Linked DNA regions of Oryza sativa Japonica Group. The protein of the gene in region 5 binds, or shares a complex with, the protein of the main gene of each other region. Links are inferred from orthologs where the notes say so. Each region holds a gene or a part of one and is shown on either strand. Other genes may lie near its edges.

Evidence for each region.
Region 1: transcription initiation factor TFIID subunit 8 (region 5) and transcription initiation factor TFIID subunit 11 share a complex: the UniProt entries of both Arabidopsis thaliana proteins name them as parts of the TFIID complex. The link is inferred for Oryza sativa Japonica Group from reciprocal best matches to the Arabidopsis thaliana genes TAF8 and TAF11.
Region 2: transcription initiation factor TFIID subunit 8 (region 5) and transcription initiation factor TFIID subunit 10 share a complex: the UniProt entries of both Arabidopsis thaliana proteins name them as parts of the TFIID complex. The link is inferred for Oryza sativa Japonica Group from reciprocal best matches to the Arabidopsis thaliana genes TAF8 and TAFII15.
Region 3: transcription initiation factor TFIID subunit 8 (region 5) and transcription initiation factor TFIID subunit 13 share a complex: the UniProt entries of both Arabidopsis thaliana proteins name them as parts of the TFIID complex. The link is inferred for Oryza sativa Japonica Group from reciprocal best matches to the Arabidopsis thaliana genes TAF8 and TAF13.
Region 4: transcription initiation factor TFIID subunit 8 (region 5) and transcription initiation factor TFIID subunit 15b share a complex: the UniProt entries of both Arabidopsis thaliana proteins name them as parts of the TFIID complex. The link is inferred for Oryza sativa Japonica Group from reciprocal best matches to the Arabidopsis thaliana genes TAF8 and TAF15b.

Annotation. Positions count from the first base shown.
Region 1 is NC_089035.1:28,595,789-28,599,890, forward strand, and holds the start of transcription initiation factor TFIID subunit 11, read left to right. Parts: upstream 1-1,298; 5' UTR 1,299-1,339; coding exon 1,340-1,659; intron 1,660-2,287; coding exon 2,288-2,375; intron 2,376-3,320; coding exon 3,321-3,420; intron 3,421-3,661; coding exon 3,662-3,789; 3' UTR 3,790-4,102. UniProt on the Arabidopsis thaliana protein: TAFs are components of the transcription factor IID (TFIID) complex that is essential for mediating regulation of RNA polymerase transcription.
Region 2 is NC_089043.1:20,160,797-20,164,867, forward strand, and holds the start of transcription initiation factor TFIID subunit 10, read right to left. Parts: upstream 2,805-4,071; 5' UTR 2,654-2,804; coding exon 2,474-2,653; intron 2,378-2,473; coding exon 2,313-2,377; intron 1,972-2,312; coding exon 1,909-1,971; intron 1,326-1,908; coding exon 1,268-1,325; intron 1,181-1,267; coding exon 1,130-1,180; intron 1-1,129. UniProt on the Arabidopsis thaliana protein: TAFs are components of the transcription factor IID (TFIID) complex that is essential for mediating regulation of RNA polymerase transcription.
Region 3 is NC_089035.1:13,333,545-13,337,754, reverse strand, and holds the start of transcription initiation factor TFIID subunit 13, read right to left. Parts: upstream 2,801-4,210; 5' UTR 2,758-2,800; intron 2,671-2,757; 5' UTR 2,497-2,670; coding exon 2,292-2,496; intron 2,207-2,291; coding exon 2,169-2,206; intron 1,917-2,168; coding exon 1,857-1,916; intron 1-1,856. UniProt on the Arabidopsis thaliana protein: TAFs are components of the transcription factor IID (TFIID) complex that is essential for mediating regulation of RNA polymerase transcription. May be involved in polycomb repressive complex 2 (PRC2) mediated repression.
Region 4 is NC_089035.1:3,329,994-3,334,245, reverse strand, and holds the start of transcription initiation factor TFIID subunit 15b, read right to left. Parts: upstream 2,808-4,252; 5' UTR 2,750-2,807; coding exon 2,698-2,749; intron 2,620-2,697; coding exon 2,349-2,619; intron 1,701-2,348; coding exon 833-1,700; intron 78-832; coding exon 1-77. UniProt on the Arabidopsis thaliana protein: TAFs are components of the transcription factor IID (TFIID) complex that is essential for mediating regulation of RNA polymerase transcription.
Region 5 is NC_089037.1:23,460,513-23,464,722, forward strand, and holds the start of transcription initiation factor TFIID subunit 8, read right to left. Parts: upstream 2,810-4,210; 5' UTR 2,511-2,809; coding exon 1,305-2,510; 3' UTR 1,197-1,304; intron 1-1,196. UniProt on the Arabidopsis thaliana protein: TAFs are components of the transcription factor IID (TFIID) complex that is essential for mediating regulation of RNA polymerase transcription.

The DNA.
Region 1 (4,102 bases), on a different chromosome or scaffold from region 5:
CCCTCCCCCCCTGTTGCTGAAAGCGATCAGCGCAACCGAAGCGAGGAATAATAATCGGCAATGATAGCGGGAGTTTGGTCAGACGAGCCTCAGACGAACAGCCGGTCGAATATTCACTCTCATCACCAGCAAAGCGGAAAAAAAAACACGACGATATATGTGGCTCTCGTCGTTTTATATTCACATGTATGATGTATCATACGGAGTATGATAGTATATATGTGTGTGCATATAGTATGTTGTTTTTTATATTCGTGGAGCAAAGTGATCGGCGCCAGAAAGCACCTTTGTGCCGTCAATTTTATTCAGGGGAGAGAGAGCTGCAAGAACTAGCGAAGAATATTGTTGTGTGATCTGGGTAAGTAATCTAATGGCGAGGCTTTGCTTGGGCAAAGAGGAGGTCAATGGTGAGCGAGCGAGAATCCTATGCGTTAGGATTAGCGGCAATAAACAAAACGGCCTCCACTAAACAAGGCGCGATACGGAGGTAATGCAAAAGCTGTGAGAGGGGGGCAAAGCAAATCCTATCCTCCTCCTGAATGCCCAAATCCCAGCGTGATCGATCGGGGTTGTTGTTTTTGTAGCTGCTTAAGCTTTTTATTGCACACGTTTGATGCATCGTTCTCAGGATGGGTCTCTCGGTGGGTCAGTGCCCACGGCTTGGGAGTTTTCTGGTCCCGAAAACCTGTTGCACGATGTGATACGTCTCGAACGAAAAGATGAAACTTTTTTGTTGCTGTTCTGATGATGGTAGTAGTAGTAATCCTGTTTTTTTTTGTTCCTTTTTTCTTTACTTTGCGCCCGGCCATTGTAAGGTCCGCATCGGAGGTAGGCCACATCACGGTTTCAACTGTGTATAAGCGTGTAACATCTGCCGTTGCTGAAAGAATGCTCCTCTGATGTTGTTCTCTGACGTAAAAAAGGAATCTAGGATTATATGTGATATATTCTAGTATAGTGTGTTCAAATTTATGGTATTAGGATGTGTTATATCTAGTACTAAGTTGGTCTTTTATAAGACGGAGGGAGTACGTCGTTAATATGTAGGTTCACGAACTGCAAAATTCATATGTCAGTTAGAGAATTTGTTTCCGCCGCTGCTGCACGCGCCGTGAGGCGTGAGCTGCTCAGCGGTGGCGCGTTCGGCACGAGCGATTTGATTCACCGGTGAAAATTCTCGCGGCCGCCACGGAGAAATCGGCCCAGAAATCCGGCCCGAGAAAAAGGCCCACGCGCGAAGCAGCCCACCAAGCCCGGCGGCGGCGAGCAGGTAGGTCAACCCCGGCCCAAAAATTTTCAGAAGACTCTGGACTCTTGCGATTCGTCTCCAGCCGCGGCCATGAAGGACCCGTTCGAGGCGGCGGTGGAGGAGCAGGAGTCGCCGCCGGAGTCGCCGGCGGCGAACGAGGAGGACGCGGCCGGGGCGCCCGAGGGATACGACGGCGCCAGCGGGTCGCGCGGGCCTCCGCTGCGGCTGCCTCCTTCGAGGGCCGCGCCATCGGGCTCCGGTGGTGCCGCCGCGGCCGCGGCGAGGGGTAAGGTGGTGCGGGTCCAGAAGGAGCAGCAGGAGGAGGAGGATGACGAGGAGGACCACATGGAGGTCGACCTCGACAAGCTGCCCTCCGGCACCAGCGACCCCGACAAGCTCGCCAAGATGAAGTAGGTGCTTGGCTGCGCTCATCCTAAACCTAGTTTTGCCTTCTTCTGGTGCGTGCTATATATGAAGGGTTAACTGCATAAGGATCAACTAAATTCAGGAACCATATGACCGTCTGTTGAGTATATACGTTCTTTGATCGAGTTCAGTGTTTTAGCGTCCTTCACCCTTTTAACTTTGGTTAATTTGTGACAGTAAGATTTGTACTAGTGGAAATTTCTGAATTGGAGTAAGGATTGTTCGTGATTGTAGTTACAGAACAACCTGACATTATTCACTTCATAAAGACTGTAGTCCCAGTTTCCAGCTATATGTGAAGCGTTTACTGGCATAAAGATCAGTTAAAGTTAGGAACCATATGACTGTCTATTGAGAATATGTTCTTGATCAAGTTCAGTGTATTTTGGTGTCCTTCACCGTTCAACTTTGGTTAATTTGTGACAGTAAGATTTGTACTAGTGGAGATTTCTGAATTGGAAAAGGGGATTGTTCTCAATTGTTTGTGATTTTATTTACAGAACATCCTGACATTATGCACTTCTCAGATTTATGTTCCAATATATATAGTGAAATATTAAACCCATCTAAATAAGAATTCTATGTTTGAAAAACTATGTACTCCTTTTCCAGTGCCATACTGTCTCAATTTACAGAAGACCAGATGAACCGGTATGAGTCATTCCGCAGATCTGGATTCCAGAAATCTAACATGAAAAAGGTATGATCTCATTCCCAACATCCATTGATTTAATATCGTACAAGTATAAACTGCAATATCATGTGCGTGTGATGCGTGTGGCGCCTCCATCTGAATTGGCTTCAGTGTTCCCCTTTGCAATAAAAGCTTTCCACAAAATGTGGATCACATTAACATTTTCTGCTTTCTTAAGTCTTACAGTTACCTTATTTTCTGTTGAATAACACCTGTTCTATTTTGGTTCATGTTTCTTTTGTGGATGCATACCATGAGTTGTACAATGTACCATGCATGTCTTGTCCAAATTGTTGATAGAGCTTCATGTACAGGACAGTTGATTTCGCTCCAAGTTGTAGATAAATACATTTTTGCCTATGTCATCGTTTCTACTGATTGTAAGTGATGTACACTCTCTAAATAAAAAACCAAACTTGGTCAATATTCTTTTCTTCAATTTATAGGCAGGCTAAGAAAGCCTTTTTGTAGTGTCAATCCAAAGTTTGACCTTTTTCTCGGTAAAAATGTTACTTTTGGCTGTTGAATGCCTGAAGTTAACAATGCTTTGAAATTACGTTCTAGTCAGAGGGACAAGTGCTTTAATGTATTTCCTCATCAGTGGTTGAAATATGAGATCACTGCGTTATTGGAATGTTTTTCGGAGTTGCTAGAAATATGGCGCCATATGCTACAGTCGATTTTTTTTAACCACTTACACAGTAGTTACACCTCATTTACACCCCATTTACATATGTAATTAGTATGTAATTTCGAATTTACATATGTAATTTTATTACTTACATATGTAATTTTGAGACTTACATTGTAAATACACTAAAATTACATATGTAATTTAGGGACTTACAATGTAAATACATGCCGACTATTTTTTGATGAAAAATATGACGCCATAAATATAGCTACACCCATGTTTTTTTAAAGTTGATTTGATATTCTGTTTCCATGCAGCTATTGGCGAGCATTACTGGCAGTCAAAAGATTTCTCTACCAACAACAATTGTAGTATCAGGAATTGCAAAGATGTTTGTTGGTGAGCTTGTTGAAACAGGCAAGTCTAGAGTAATTATCTTATTTACTTTGTTGCTCATAGAACACTACCACCAAAGCACCTATGATTTTGATGTATGCTCATCTCTTAAAGCAAATCACTCTTATGACTGATCTTTTGTAATCGTCCGTGTTCAAATGTCCTTTTCTGCTTTCCATAAACTTGTTCTCTGACATCAGAAGAAAAAGGAGGGATGGCTTTATTCACTTTATTTTTGACAATTCGATTGTGTCTGTTGCAGCTAGAATAGTTATGACTGAGAGGAAAGATTCTGGACCAGTAAGGCCTTGCCACATCAGAGAAGCCTACAGAAGATTGAAACTTGAAGGGAAGATCCCACGGCGGACTGTTCCCAGGCTCTTCCGTTAGAATTGAAGCATCTCTGTTGATCCCAGTCGACACTGAGATGGTCCTTTCTGCGGTCAGATGCGCGGAAAGAGAGAATGACATGAGATGTATTTCTTCAGCTTTGTGAAATTGTTACTGTGATTTCTGTCGCAGCAAGGGAACCAGAGCAAACAGTACGTACAAGCTGAAGTACTACGGTACTACTAGCCGTGGAAAATTCTATGTATAAAGTATTGGCCGTAGGCTGTGAATTTTCAGGCTTATGAATAGTTGAACTGTGTACTATGCTGTTTGGAGTATGCGCTGAATCTGATTATATGCTTGTCTGCAATTA
Region 2 (4,071 bases), on a different chromosome or scaffold from region 5:
AGAAAACAAAAATAAATCTCAAATTGGTAGTATGTGGAACAAACATATTTCATGAAAGCACAAAGCTTCTATAATGATAGCTCATCTGTAGAGCATTACAGTCCAGAGTTATGTGATATTGTGACATGTCAAGGATGCCCTTTTGTGTGAGGTTTCGTGTGTAGAAGGTAGATTGATTCTGAACCATGGAATTGTAAACATAAGTGTACTGACCATGATGTGATTATAGCTGAATCAGTCATTTGCCAAGAATATTGCTGGGAAGGGAAAGCATAGAAGATCATTTGTCAAATAGACCTGTATATGAGCAGCTCATCCCTGTATATGAGCAGCTCATCCCAGGTCTGCTTAAATGCTTATTTCATGTACTATAATGTATGTGTTCTGGGGAGTGGATTCTAATCCCTCGAGGGGATGTCCCCTCGTATATATTTTTCTTTCAAAATCAATGCAAATATAGTTGTTAAAAATTCTGAAAAATATTGACAATGTAGAGTACAATTATATCTAATAGTCCACCAAAAATAAAGTTCAAATTCGACCTACACATCGAGAACCCAAAAAGACAAATTCAGATATTAACAGTGCGGTACTATTTATACGCTGAATTTGTCTTTTTTTATATCTCGATGTGTGAGTTGAATTTGGACTTAAGATTTTGTGAAGTTGTATAGATATGTTGTATAAGTGTTGTCAAATTTTTCTAGAATTTTTCATAACCGTTTAGATGATTTTTAAGCGGCACATCCCCTCAAGGGATCAAAATAGTTTCCCATTTGTTCTTCTGGTAAAATATTCCAATACAAGTAGGCTGTGACTGATTGTTGAGTTGATTAGTCTATCTGAATTGTGATTAATCGTGAGCATCGTGAAGCATATACAACTGATCAATTTGGCTACTTGTTTCATTAAAAAAAACATTAACAAGTAATCCCATTGGTCTAAAAAAGGTTAACTAAATCCATTCTACAGTAGATTTATTAATGCAGAGATTCAAGTCCTAATAAAACTAATAATTGCAATTATACGTCAAACTGAATAAACTGTGACTTCAATCACGTAAAGTACAGTGGTAACTGGTGAGCTGCAGTAAAAGGGAAAGCTTAAATTCAACAGGAAAATGGTTTACCTCTTGCAAGGCCTTGGAAAGATCATCCATTGTTAACACAAGACGCCTATCCTGAAGAACAGAATGACTGAACCAGTAAATAAAAGTACTGATTTCATGCTAGTAGTACCATGGTACACCAACTGCAATTAAACCCACCTTAGGTTGCTTGCTCTTGTTATCTTTGATAGGTGCTGCTACCCTGGCTTTGCAGTGCCTAGTTCAGGACAATAATCATGTGATGAACAAATTAGTGTGCATGATACCTTTTAACTGTCACAAGTTATGATACAAGCAACACCATAAGAAGCTTGACTTTACACATAAAGTTTCAGTCAGTACTGAAATTAGATTCCCTACCACATCAATGTTATGCATATTTCGCAATCTATTGTCTTAACAATATAGACATAAGATACCATGTTTGATGTTTCATTCCATGGTCATAATGTGAGAAGGATGATAGAAACAAAAAAAAGGAAGCACAAAGAAGATGCAAGTTGACAGTATGAAGAAAACAAGCCTAAAATCAACATGGTTATCTCAAAAAGCTGCCAGCATAGGAGAAATGAGGCTACTCAACATCTCAAGAATGAAGCATATTGCATACACCTCCATTTATGAATGATGCAAGAAACCTCATGGTTCATGACCATCATCAGAAATCATATTTCTCATTCACTATCTGAAGGTAACGAAAATTCGACTCCAAGAATCGATAACCACTAAAAAGGAACAAAATAATCGCACATACGTTTAAGTTGGAAAACAAAACGAATGAGGCAGTAAAAGTTACATACTGAAGAGAGTCGCTTGCAATGTCCGAAATGAACTTTTGGGTGGCTACAGCAACCAGCCTCGTTCTGCAGAGAACACAAAAATTATGGTTCATAAGGCCATGCTGTCACACATGACGACCAACAATCACCAAGCTGAAAGGGATACAGCGATTTTCTCCCTCGACTAGAATGGCAACACGCTGCATTACAATGCAATCCTAACAGCCTCAATCAGATCTAACTGTCACCATGTTGTACGTACTAAGAATCAGGCAAAATTCAGTCCAAATCTCTTCAGTGATTTCCGGGCACTGGACGAATTTCAGTTTAATAACTACCAATTGGCCCATCCTGGAAGGCACGGTGCAGTCTTCCTGAAAGAGAGAAGAGATTGAACTATTGGAGAGATAGATGGGGGTGCTTACAGGCGGAGGTCGGGGCAGTAGAAGCCGCTGCGGCCAAGGTAGTGCTCCACCAGCTCGTCGGGAATCTGCCGCACCACCACCACCACCACCACCACCACCGCATCAGACACGAAACCCAAGAGAGGGGGAAGCTAGGGCAAGATGGGCGGCAGGCGCCGTACCGTAGGGGTGTAGTCCATGAGGGAGGAGAGGAACTCGGTGAGGACCGCCTCGTCGTCGTGCCGCCCGTCTCCGCCGCCGCCGCCGCCGGCGGCGGCTGCCCCCATGGGCCCTCCTCCCCCCATGCCCCCCGGAACCATGGCGCCACCGCCGCCTCCGCCTGCGCTGTTGCTCCCCATCATCCTCTGGTCCCCCGCCTTCGCCGGAGGAGCTAGTGGGGTTTGAGATCTGGCACGTCGGCGGGGAAGTTCGCCGCCGATGGACCAGGAAGAGCGGCGGGAGTCGTCGTCGTCGCCGGAGGCTCGAGAAGGAGGGGGGAAGAGGGAGGGGAGTGGTGGGCTGTACTCCGGCCCTTTTGGTAATAAGCGTAGGATGGGCGGAGTTCAGGCCCGTTTGGAAAAAAAAGGGATAAGTCTATTTTACACCTATGAAGTCTTCGTTTTTGTCTAAAACTAGAAAAAAAAAGTCTATGCATTGGAACGGGTAAATGCTATTTTAATTTTATTGTTGTTATACGGTTTAGCTACGGTAAAATTCACTGTGAAAATTTGATTGGATATTTTTTCAGAAAATCATGAGCTGCAATTAGGAGACCGTATTTAATTTGAAGTTAGCATGTGAGTTTTTTTAAAAGATTTCTTATACGACTTACTTCCAATAGGAAATAAGCTTAAAATCTAACTCAAACACGGTTCTGTATTTTCAAAAGTGAACGAACTTAAAAACCGACTCAAATATGGATGACAAACCAAAATTCTAGCAAAAACATCTTCAGTTTTTATAATAGTAGAGATACACCCAATACTCTAAAGCCGGATATTTCACACCCTCTAACTTTTAATACCATTCACTTTATACCCCCTGAGCGGTTTACACCACGTCAGCAGGTCCTACAGTCTTCTTTCACCTTCCCCTCTCTTTCGACTCCCTCCCTCTATGAGCTTGAGGCAGCCATGACGAGATGGACGGAGCTGCGAGCTAGATGCGAGCATAGAGAAGAAAGGGGTCGGCGGAGAGCTTCGTGCCGAGCCCACCCCCTTGGTCGTGCTCGGAAGAAAAGGAAGGTTGGCAGCAAGCTCGATGTGGAGCTTGCCCCTTGGCTGAGGTCAGAGAAGAGGGGGGTTGGCGGCGAGCTTGGAGAAGAGGAACTGCTGAGCACGGAGAAGACGGGATCACCAGCAAGTTCCAAGGAGGGTTGATGGGCAGTAATCGGCCCCTCCTACCCAAGCTTCGATGTCATCATAAGCTCTGAGATCCGCTGCCACTCGTCCTATCCAAGTGTTGCTGTCATCGTAGACCCAGAGCTCTCCCCCCCCCAACACCCACTTGCCGAGGTCAGAGAAGACAAGTGCCAGCAGCACAACCTCGATCCCACGATAAGCTCAATGAAGGAGCCGATGCCGCTGGGCCTGCTACACAAGCTCAGGGAAGTCGTCGGCACTCGCCTCATTGAGCTCAGGGAGGTTGCCTCGCTACTCTACTTGTTAAGCTCGGGAACTCATCAACGGCCTTCTACCCTCGTCATTCATCTCGAAGAGGAGAAGGAGAGGAAAGAGGAAGAAGAAGAGTAAGAGGAAAGAGGGGAGGTGGCCTACGGGTC
Region 3 (4,210 bases), on a different chromosome or scaffold from region 5:
CATAAATAAACATTACATACACATATGGTTTTATCCACATGCAGGTATTTAAAATCAAATAAAAAATTACAGTTAACTAAATTCTTGTGTTTGGTGTGTATTTCTGCTGTTACAGAGTGCATACTAGATTGTAGTCATGTAAAAATTTTGTCCAACAACCTGGGGCAAAGTAAGTCTGCAGGGTAAACAGACCTAATAAATTCATATCGTCGCGTATTCAGATCACGCATGGACAAATTATCTACAAAAATATATTCAGACAAGTGGGGCATGTTTAGATATCTTCACCCCATGTCACAGGTACATTTCATTTACACTATGCACGATTACAAACTCAAGGTTCCATATCATGCAGGAAAGTAGACTATATAGAGACTTTAAAGAAAATGCCTTTCTTAATATAGTTTACAGATAATTTAAGCAGGGAAGAACTGCCAAAAGATGGCAAAGCTCTATGAATCATTAACAAAAAGGGCTCCACAAGAGATGCAAATCCTGGTGATAACTATAACCGTTGCTGAACAGGTATGGAGTGTACCAGCCAGAACAATTTAAATTGGAGTGAATTGCACCTTGGGCTAGGAATATTTACCCAACTTTCTATTTGAACCATATGCTCTAGCCAATGTTTTTACTTTGGATTATGTATGTTTGCCTCTATGTTGCAATTTGGGCTTATATAACTGTCTGTAGAACTCTTTCTCCACCCGCAGTTCTACCAATGCCATCACAATCGCTACACTCTGCCTATGCACAGTAATCCACCAGCTCCAGCTTTTGCTCAGCCTCGAGCTCCACTAGTGTTAGCCCCTGATTTGAGCTCAAGATGCTCCACCATAGCGCTGAGACGGTGTTCCGGCCAGTGGGTGCAAGAGCAGGGGATGGTCAGGTGATTAGCATGGAGAGGTCTGGAAGGTTTGTCACTGTATGAAGCTCTTCAACTTATCTGGTGGTTTATGATTGAGAAGGGAACTGAGGATGGAAAAAGTTAATTAAGGCTTTTATTTGTGGTGGACTAGCTGAGAAAGGCTTGGCAAGATGCTCCACCATAGCGGCCTGCACAAATGAGCTGCCGCAACGAGAGCACATGATGGCGCACAAGGAGAGGAGACGAGAGGACTGACGAGGAAGATGACTATATGGAGGCTGACGTGTGGGACTAATGGTCCAAAGTGCAAAATTTGATACCATAAGCTGGTTCAAAGTGAAAACCTTTGATAATACCTAATCCAATGTGCAACTTAGGAAATAAAATCTAGTCCAAAGTACAGTTCACACTTAAATTAAAGTTCAGATTTGAGACCATAAGAATAAAGTATAACTTTATATTTTCTTGAAATTTCATGTACAGGTACACTAGTTTACTTTCATATGCCGGATCTGAATTATTACATATTAGCATGCAAAAAGTTCGAATCCAATATTTTTATCACAAAACTGGTTTACTGCCGGTAACTAGCTGGTAACTGGTTTTTTGATTCAAAATTTTGGAATCGAACTTTTGTCCAGTAGAGACCTGGCAACTTATTTTCCAGAGGGAGTAGTTCTTTTTTCCCGAAACCAGTGTTCAAACTTCAAGCCCTTGGGCTCTACACAAATATGAACTATAGGTTAAAGTGAAGCCCCTATTAATTCTCAAAACATAAAAGGCTTCATGTTTCCCGACAAACAGAAGCACTGAACCTAATCACTCTTTCCAGAAAACTACCTAATCACTCTTTCCAGAACACTAGAATTGAATTAAATAAGGCAACAAATAAGGATGTCGAAATCCAAATAAACTCCTTTCATCCATACAACCTTCATAAATGTAATTTCAGTAGAAAACAAGAAAGACAAATACAATGAAAGCTTACCAGGTCAGTGACATATTCTACAACAATGTCCTCCACAAGTGCAACAGTTTCTGGAAGCGGCTGCAAAACCAACAGAAAGATGTCATTTACATACAAGATTTTAACTTAAAAGGTAGAACAGCATGTCCATTCTTTCTTAGGCAATCATGTAGTTGTGTTGTAAATCCATGGCCTACTTGCAATTATTGTCGTTGTCGGTGTTAATTACCTCCAATGTTCCACAACACAAAGTACACAAATTGCATCCTATCCCCAAACAATTCCTAGCCTGAAAATTAAGAGATGAAAGGCATAGATCGAGGTCGGGCTTACATTTGGATCATCCCCAAATCCGTACATCATGTGCTGCACTGCAAGAACGGGGAAAAATGCAGCATAAACAACGAATTCGAAGAACAGCAGCAGTACTAAAGTTTAGAAAAAACAGTGCCGTACGGTCTTTCTGGAAGACGCCGCGCTTGCGCTTGAGGGTGGTGGCGGACGCGTCGGCGCCGCCGCCGCCGCCGCCGCCGCCGCCGGAGTGGTGGTGGTGGTGGTGGTGGGAGCTCCCCTGGCCCGACGCCGACGCGGCGGCAGCGGTCGAGGACTTGGACTTGGCCGCCGAGGCCGGGCTAGCGTGGTGGCCGCCAGGGTTCTGCATCCCGGCGGAAGAGCGAAGGACGCGAGGGGTGAGGGAGGGAGACGGACGCCGCCCGCCCCCTCTTCCCGACGGCCGGCGGCGCTCCCCTCCCCTTCCCTTCGCTCCTCGCCGCCGCTTGGATTTAGGGCTTTCGCGTGCACTATGCACAGCCGTGATGGATTTCTGAGGGGCGAACTGGAAGGAAACGAGTGGAGTCAGCCTCACACTAGCGGCGGAGCGTAAGGCCGGGAAGGGGGAGAGGCAATCGCGGCGGAAGCGTACCGGCGGCGAAGGGAAGGAAGCAGCTGGTGAGCGTACCGGCGGCGATTCGAGAATTTTCCGGTCCTTGCGGCTTGTATGGTATGATTTGGAGTTTACACGAGGGAATTGCGGATGAGATTAAGATGAGAATTTAATTTTTAATCCTAATATCTTGTTTGGTAGAGATGATAAAAATTGATAAGGAGTTTAGTTAGAGATTAGGTCATTAATAAAAATGGATGGCTGAGATTTGCTTAGACAAAGTAAAGGAGGAATTCCCTCCCAATTACCTGCCGTATTGAAAAGGAGGGATCTACATCCCACCAAAATTCTTATGTCTCCCAACCAAACAAAACACTTAATAGCCTCATCCCTCTAAACTCCCAATCCCTCCTGAAAACTCTCTCCAACCAAACGGGCCATTTGAGAAATTTTGCAACACACCATATTGTCCAGTTTTGCATTACCGTTTTCGAGTGAAGACCGGTTTGTATCGGTTTGGTAAAAAAAACAATAAGAATAGCAATTTTTAATCAATTTCATACGAAAATTGCTACTCACTCCGTTCCAAAATATAACAACCTGTACTAGATGAGACATATCTTAGTACAATGAATCTGGACAGAGGTACAAGGTTGCTATATTTGAGGGAGTAAAACCACTTAGTTTTCGTAAACCAGTCCCCACGGCATTTTTACGAGAACTGGGTGATTTTCAGTCAGTGATTGCAACATTAGACTTGAGATACAGGAGAGCATAGATAAAGAAGACATGAGCCACTTAAAGATAAAGGAGAAATAACACTTTCAAAAATATTAGAGCACTTAAAAAAGGATAATGAGTTAGTACTTAGAAATGTGAAGAAAATGGTTCATATAGGGAAAGGACGAGGAACAGGCAAATTATTGTACCTATGGCTAGATCTGATAATAGAGAGTAGAGCGTCAACAACTCGACAATAATGATAACCAAATAGCTAAACGTTTCCAATAGAAAGTTAGAAGTCAATGTTGGAGCACTTGCCACCGCCGCTAAAGAGATGGCTAAATCTAAGTGCCATTAAAATTAGATCATGGCGATGTGCTTAAGGACCGATGACGATGAATGAACAAGGATTTGCAATGGGACCTACAACTAGATTAGTGGTTGTGGTGGTAATGTGCACAAGGAGAAAGAGTGGCAAACCTCTGGTCTTAAATGACATGACAACTTGCAACTTGATATCTTAACTCTTTCAATACTCCAAAGTAATATTCTTGGAAGATATGGACCTAATGAGAAACGGGTGGAGATATGAATTCATCTTTTTTCAATGGCAACTTCATTTTTAGAATGTTCCTCAATGCCCTTTTTTTTTAATTCCTAAAACTTGTTGCCTACCTCCCACTTTGTTTTTTTTTTTGTTATCTTTGGTACTAAGGAATTGACTTTATGCCACCGAGTTTAGTACTCCATCCGTCTCAAAATATAACAA
Region 4 (4,252 bases), on a different chromosome or scaffold from region 5:
CCAGAGTCATCAGTATAGATCTTTATGTTCCAGGGCCACTGGTCTTTGTAGCCACGTTTCTGCTTGATCCTTCCAACCTTAAGAAAAAAGCAGTTGCAAAAACTCAAAACACAGCCATGAAACACAAGCAGTTACCACCCCCAAAACTAAAGAAATTAATTTCTTGCAATAAATTTAGCTAGGAACACTAAGTAATCTGTAAAACCAACTTTACTTTATTATCAAAGATTTTACATTAACATCATGGGGTGATATGCCACGAATTATTTGGCATAAAATACCAATATGGGAGTAAAGCAAAATTACTACAAAATCATTGAATGGCTTGGTTATAACTAAAATTACAGTACTACTACTTCTACAAAAAAAAAGAGCATCATTACTGCAAGATGATTATGTTACATCAAAACAAATATCCAAATTTAATTATGCACATTGAAACACAAGGGTGTACTTCTCCACTAGCAAGGAAAAAAACAATATGTAATAAGCTCGCTCTAACTGCGCTGTATACAACAGATGGAGCAGATTTTGTGCAAAACTATGACTTGCAATGTGCTAGCAGTAGTGAAAGCAAAAGGGGAAAAAAATGTTAACAAGCCCAACTACAGATTATAAACATCATCTGAATACTGATTTGTAAATTTACTTAAATTCCAACAAGTAATATCAGTAACACTGGAAAAAGATATTATGGCGAAACACATAAAATGAAAAACATGAGGTTAGAAAAAAGACATAAAATGCACAAAATATTTCAGTGAGCGAATCGTGAAATGCACAGTTCATAAACACTAAATATGTGGGAGCTCAAGAGGAGGTCAAAGTATACCTGGCCGATTCCTCCAAATAGTTCTTGCAGTTCCTCAACAGTCACATCAGGAGGTAAGTTGGAGATGTAAATTCTTGCATTATCACAAGTCTCATCACAGTTTGCATCACACTGCTTAACCTTTGCAGCTGGCTCTGGAGCAGCACTGCCAGTGTATCCGCCGCCACCGCCGCCGCCACCACCACCACCACCACCACCATGATAGGGTGGAGGTGCACCAGGGCCTCCACCCCCAGGCATAGGCCGACCACCATACCCACCATCATATGAAGGAGGTAGGCTACCTTGGCCACCTGGAGCACCACCGCTATATGGCGGGTTCGGAGGTGGTGCACCATAACTTGGTGGATATGAACCTGGACCACCACCATAGCTACTAGGAGGTGGCACTGCAGAATCTGAATTGTATGCATTATTGCCTCCATAGGAGCTTGGAGGTGCTGCATAGTCACCACCAGGCCCACCATAGGAAGGAGGACCTTGAGGAGGAACTTGTCCATAGCTACCAGCGTCATAACCACTTTCGTCTCCCCTTTGGTTGTTCCCTTGGTCTCTTCCCCCATAACCACCCCTGCCACCACGGTGGTCATCAAATCCACGATCATCGCCACCACCTCTATTGTAACCTCCTCCTCTTCCTCCCCCTCCAGTGCCACCACCACGGCCACCAGAGTTGTAATCTCCTCCACCTCTGTTGTAGCCACCGCCACCTCCAGAACTAAAATCGCCACCACCACGATTGTAGCCTCCACCCCCTCCACCAGATTTATTATACCCTCCACCTCCACCTCCACCTCCACCTCCAGCAGGAGAAGGTGCTCCACACTTGTTGCATTCAGTCCTCCTTGCAAAGTTCACATTGCCACAACTGGAACAAGAATGATAAACAAATATATTAGGAATATTGGAAGAGAACCAATGAAATTGCAACCGAATATTCTGCAAAATATAACCAACTCAGCAAGACAACTAATGCCATATTGAAAGAAACATATTCATAAAAGAAAGTATTTACTGTATTTTGTAGTGCTTATTTACTGTATTTTGTAATGCTTCCAATAACACCATGAACTCATTTCAAAAACATATATGAAATTTCTTCTCTGCCACTCTGCTATACCAAGGAAAATAGAACATAGGGGAGGGGAAGAAATCATGGGAGACAAGTATAACATAATATTTATGTATCTAGAGGTTCAACATAAATTTAGCACTTGTGACCTAAGATTATAGGGAGCTCTCATAGAGAATGAATTATGCAGTTAACTATTTGTTGGCAGTTCTGATGCTCACAATACTACGATGAAACAAAAATTTAGTAGGACACTTCACACATGCCCCATGCAAAATCCTAAACCAAATTATCAAATAACCCAATAATTTATAATTTAACAACCTAAAAACCCTAGATTTCATGGCCAAGTAGCATAATTTACAAGACAATCGGGACAACCACGATTTCATCAGTCACAGTCGAATCAAACGAGACAACGTCAAATGAGTAAACGAAACAAACCTCGGGTCTGGGCAAACCCAGTCACCGTCACGTCCTCCACCCCTCCCGCCGCCACCTCGGCCACCGCCACCCCCACCCCCACCTCTCCCGCCGCCGCCACCGCCGCCGTAGCCTCCTCCTCCACCGCCACCTCTACCACCGCCGCCGTACCCTCCGCCACCGCCGCCATATCCTCCGCCACCACCACCATATCCACCTCCCACACCACCACCACCATATCCTCCCCCTCCTCCTCCGCCACCTCCCCTCCCACGGCCGCCTCCGCCGCCACCTACAAAAAAAACCACAAGCCAGTCAGGAGCAGATCCAGAAGCAAGCACGCACACAACCCGCAGGATCCCGACGCGACCTCGGCCGCCGTAGCCGCCGCGGTAGTCGTCGGATCCGTACGACCCCGACATGGTCACGCGCCTAGGGTTTGGGAGCGTTCCGGAAGGGCAAGTGCGAACAGAGTATTCCGAATTTCTGATACGTGTGTGGATTAGGGCAGAAGTAAGCAGTCGAAAGAGATGGATTTGGGCCGGAATTAAACGGGAGTCGAATTCTCTCGCTGCGTGTGGGCCTGGATTGCTGGGGTGTACATGTAATGGGCTGTATATTGGGGATCACTCAAGGCCCATTGGGAATTTTCTTTGGTGGGTGTTTGGCCCAGCCCATTAATAATATTCACTAGCCTTTTGTGGACAAATGAAAGTGTCAAAATTTATTACTACCTCCATCCCAAATTAGATATCGTTTTGACTTTTTGCTTGCAATATTCGACCATTCGTCTTATTTAAAAAATAATGCAAACCTAAAAAGGATAAGTCATACTTAAGGTATTTTGATAATAAAACAAGTCACAAACAAAATAAATAATAATAACATAATCTTTTAAATAAGACGAATGGTCAAACATTACAAATAAAAAACTCAAAACGACGAATATTCTAGAATGGAGGTAGTATATTTTTGAGCGGAGGGAATAGTTAAGAGTACTGATGTTAAACCTGTGTCTTATATATCTGTTTGTTATTGTTTTTTCCTAGTTAGAGCAGGGCTAACCTTACCATCAGGGGTTGAGTTACCGCACCCAATCGTAAGCACGGTAATCACACGGTAAACCATGAAAAACTAGACGATGCTATTAGAAGTTCATATTATTATGTAAATTTATTTGAATTTGACGGGATAAGTTACTATTAGTGTATCCAAAGGTAAGTCCGGTTACCGCGGAAACCGCACAATAACAAGCGATATTGTCGATTTATGACCTGTTTGGAATGTGAAGTGAGAATTGTCTTCTACTCTTCCATAAATCAAATCTTTAGGACAGCACATATAAGTGATATACAAAAATGATTAGGCTCTTCAGACATGTAAACTTAATCGGATAATTTCTCCCTCAAGATGAAAAACAAGAACTAGAGCACATATTGCTCTTGATGGGATGGAGATGCTACGTTTTGTGAATTTTTGGGTAAGCTCGATTAGTCAGACTTCCTTTCCATCCAGTAACTTTCGCCTTAAACTCTCCTACTCCTATGTAGAAACAATCAGAAAATTCTCTTACTCCAGTGCTCTCTGTTTATCTTTCAGTCGGTTTCAGACAAAACATGGACGCACATCATGCTCCTACATGAACTGCACATTTTACAGATAAAATAAGATGTCAGTTCGTTTTCAGATTATAAAACAAGTTGTCGCTCTGCCGGCAAAATTGATTATTTTGCGCGGCATTGCGTTGGGGAACATCTCTCTGCCTACACGGAGAACCAGATATTGCAGTTGAAGTCTTGAGGACACACGCGGGCAGCACGTTCTCTGACAAATCTGCATATCATCCTTCTGAACATTCGTTATCTATGTCAGACTGACCAATCGCCAAACAGATTACAAGCATGCGATTTCTTCTCTTAAAAATG
Region 5 (4,210 bases):
TATAGTTTACTTATAAATTTTGAAGTTTTTTAAGTAAAGTTTATTTCTATTATATAATACGGTTAACAATATAGTTTTGTCATGTAAATTATAATCAATAAGTTCGCTATAATTTATATCACAAAAATTAATGAAACTTTGTAAAACCAACCATGACTACTTAACAAAAGAAATGGACAAATATTTTCATTAATAAAATAATCTAAAATAATGGGTACATAATATAATATAATGGTGTAAACTTTATTTTCAAGTATTGTAGAGCTAATTCATTTATGTATACTTGTAAAAGAGTTATATGCTGATATATTATTCTATGTTTGTAAAGTAACTTTTATTTAAAATTTATTATCACTAATAATAGTAATAATAATTGTCTCAACTATATACATTGAAAAGAAAAAAAGTTACGTACTAACGTACGTACATATATATACCATGGAAGGAGAGGTGGAACAGTATAGTCACTTTTCGTGTTTGGATTTATTTAAAGATCCACTGATTTAAGTGAAAATCAAGGGATAGATGTTTTGCTTTTTTTTTCTCAGATTTTCTACGATTTTCTTTACTTCCTCCGTTTCACAATGTAAGACTTTCTAGCATTGCCCACATTCATATAGATGTTAATAAATCTATACACATATGTGGCTAGATTCATTAACATCTATATGAATATGAGTAATGCTAGAAAGTCTTACATTGTGAAACGGAGGAAGTAGTTTATTAGAGCACCATATGGCGGCTTGAGAGCGTTTTGAGGAAGTTTAATGACCTTTTAGTATATAATAGATAGATAGATTGCATGTGCGTATCAGCAATCCTTCTAATTTAGGATATTAGTGCGGTGGTGGTAGCCTACAAGGAATCCAGTTAATCAGAACTAGCAGTGGAAGGTAGATTCGCAATTTTTGAACTGTATACAGTGGATGCTATTTTTCTAACCAAAGCTTTAAGGAAAAGCATAACAGAATGTGACTACCACATATATTCAACACATAAACCATCCATGTAGCATTCTCTGTTATCTCGTGATGTGATAACTTTGTACTTTTAAATACAAAATGTGCATATTACAAAAAAAAGGATATTCTTGTGTAGTTATGTGGTTTTCAGTTATACACTCAAATTAATAGAGATGCACGTAATGGCTATGAAGTAAATCTGCCAGGAACAGTTAAGTGAAAAAACAAACAAACCTCAAGATCTTGGCAAATGCTGCTCCAACATGAATTTGAAAAGTCCCTAGTTTAGCCAGTCCAAAATTCACCATGCAGCTCTGTGGGTACTGCAAACATACAGGAACGTTAAAGCTGAGTAAGTTCATGTGGATTATCCATTGCTTCCCTTAGTATCAACTCTGCCCTCTGCTCCTTATCCTCCTTGAAGAACCAGGGATCCTTCAGTTCAACCAGAGCTCTCGAATTCAGTGCCATCACCATTGACTTCTTATCAATCCCAATTCTAAAATACACCGGTGGCCTCTCTTTTGGAACAACCCTCTTCTGAGTCTGACTATCATTTTGGCCCTGATCCATACCCTCATCAAATTCTCCACCTTTTGATTCTTCAAATGCGGGTGCGAAGGCCTCAACAACAGAGAATGTCTTCCCCACACCAGGCATGGTAACCTCGGACACCGCCTTCTCCCCATAAGGCAAAGCTCGCTCATGAAACGGATTCGCCTTGCTCTCAACCACATCTAGTCCGTTCGCTTTGACTGCATCATCGACCAGCATTCCTGGTCGGAACCCGTCGGCACCTGCAAGAGCAAGACGCCGTTGCAGGCTGAGCAGCGACTTCTCAGCTTTCCTCCGCTGCCGCGCCCGCTCCACCTCATCCGCCCCAGCCTTAGCCACCTCCTCACTCCACAACTCGCTCCTCACATACGTGTGAGGTTCCGGAAAGGCCGGGAGCCATTCCGGGACATGGCTCATCCCGCTCTCCCTACCCAAGACCGCAAAGCTCGTCGTCGAGTGCAGCGGCACACGCTGTACCGGAAACCTCGGCAATGGCCGGCCCGCGAACGGGGATTCCTTGGACGCGCCAACAAACACGGCCATATCCTTGACGACGGCGGAGTTGGCGAGGCAACGGGCAGAAACCGAGGCGGCCCCCGCGAAGCCATAGTAGGCCGCGCCGCACTCCTCGAGGAACTGTATGACGTCGCACTCGTTTGCGGCGGCGCGGCCGGCGAGGTTGGCGTGGAACGTGGCGGCACGGCCGAGCTGGCAGATGTACCGCAGGAGGACGTCGACGAGCGCGTCCACCGCCGAGCGGTGCGCGCAGACGAAGCCAGCCGCCTCCAGCATCCGCGCCACCGCCGCCCTCGCCACCGCCCTCCCGAAGTCCCCTCCTCCACCCGCTGCTGCCGCCGCTGCTCCTCCCCCTCCTCCTCCTCCTCCTCCTCCTGCTCCTCCGCCACCACCGCCGCCTACCCTGCCGGCCCGGCCACCACCCCCGCCGCCTCTGCTGCTCATGCTCGCCTTCGCGCTCGGCCGCGCCCCAATCATACCGGCGGCACCTCTATCCCACCGCCGCGAACCCAGGCCGCGCCGCCATCGAGGGGGGGAGTGGCAGCGCCAAAATTGCGGGGGAATTCGAGCACCGGTGGTCGAAATCGGGATGGAAATCTAGGGTTTAGGGGTTGACCGTTGGGGAATCGGGCACGCGGAGGCGGCGGAGCTCGGAATTCGGAGAGAAATCCAAACCCCAAGCTGGCGAAATGGGGAGAGGGAGACGACTTGAGTTGACTACACTAGCGAGAGAGCGAGGAGGACACAAGCAGCAGCGGAGAGAGAGAGAGAGGCGTGTCGGCTGAATGCGGAATGCCTCAACACAGGAAGATTTCGGCCATCTTCCGACGGCGGGGAATGAACGGCCAGGATTTTCCATTCTCGATTCAGGAGCTTTGTCACTCGATGGGTGGATTATCGGGTGCTTCTATGGTCTATACAAAACAAAGTCAACATGGAAGGCATCCACAATGGTTATTTATAGGCTCTCTACAAGAGATCCATGTCAGCATATTTTTCTACTTGGAAGGTATTAAATGAAGAGAGAGAGCAAAGCTATCTACTAACTTATAGATAGTCTATAGAGAAAAACGAGGCAATGCATGAGAGAGCTATAGATACCAATGTAGACATACTATTGAAGTGGTTTACTATTAATCGAGTCTATTGCTGAGATGTACATGTTTTATAGAGAGCACCTTAGAGCACCCGAACCATTCGTCTATTGCTGAGATGTACATGTTTTATAGAGAGCACCTTAGAGCACCTGAACCATTGCGGATGGTTCGGGTGCTCTAAGGTGCTCTCTATAAAACATGTACATCTCAGCAATAGACTCGATTAATAGTAAACCACCTCAATAGTATGTCTACATTGGTATCTATAGCTCTCTCATGCATTGCCTCGTTTTTCTCTATAGACTATCTATAAGTTAGTAGATAGCTTTGCTCTCTCTCTTCATTTAATACCTTCCAAGTAGGAAAATATGCTGACATAGATCTCTTGTAGAGAGCCTATAGATAACCATTGTGGGTGCCCTAAGGGCAGCCCCAACCCTCCATCTAGGATGGTGTCTATAGCATTAACTACATTGCCATGTAGGACTTTTAGCTTATATGGCACTATATTAATTCAGAGAGTAAGTGAAGAGAGGAAGAAACTGGGTCTCATGCAAGACACAGCCTCAACACGAGAACCTATGCACTAGACACTATCAAATTTTGTATTGGGAGAGAATAGTATCTTCATAATAGATGAAGAATAAATATGATTGGTAGAGAAGAGAGATGATGTATTTATTAGTGGCCTAGTTTAAGAAACCATGGGTTGTAGAGTGTAGTTTCTATTGTGATGTCTTATTGACATGATATCATAGACACTGCTTATGGACACTATGGGTTGGGACTGCCCTAATAGGGTAGGCGGACACTCAAAGGTTAAATTGGTTTTATTTAGAGAAGAGTAAAGTGTGTTGGCGGTCCTTAAACTTGTAGGGTTGTGTCGTATATGTCTCTAAACTCTCAAAATGGATATCCAGGTCTCAGAACTTGTCAAAGTGTATCATCTTGGCCCCAAATTGATACATCCCCTCTAGGATCCTACGTGGCGCTGATGTGGCAATGCCACATGGACGTGACGTGTCCTTTTCTTTTTTTTCTTTTTTTCCTTTTCTTTTCCGTTTTCTTCTCATTCTTCTT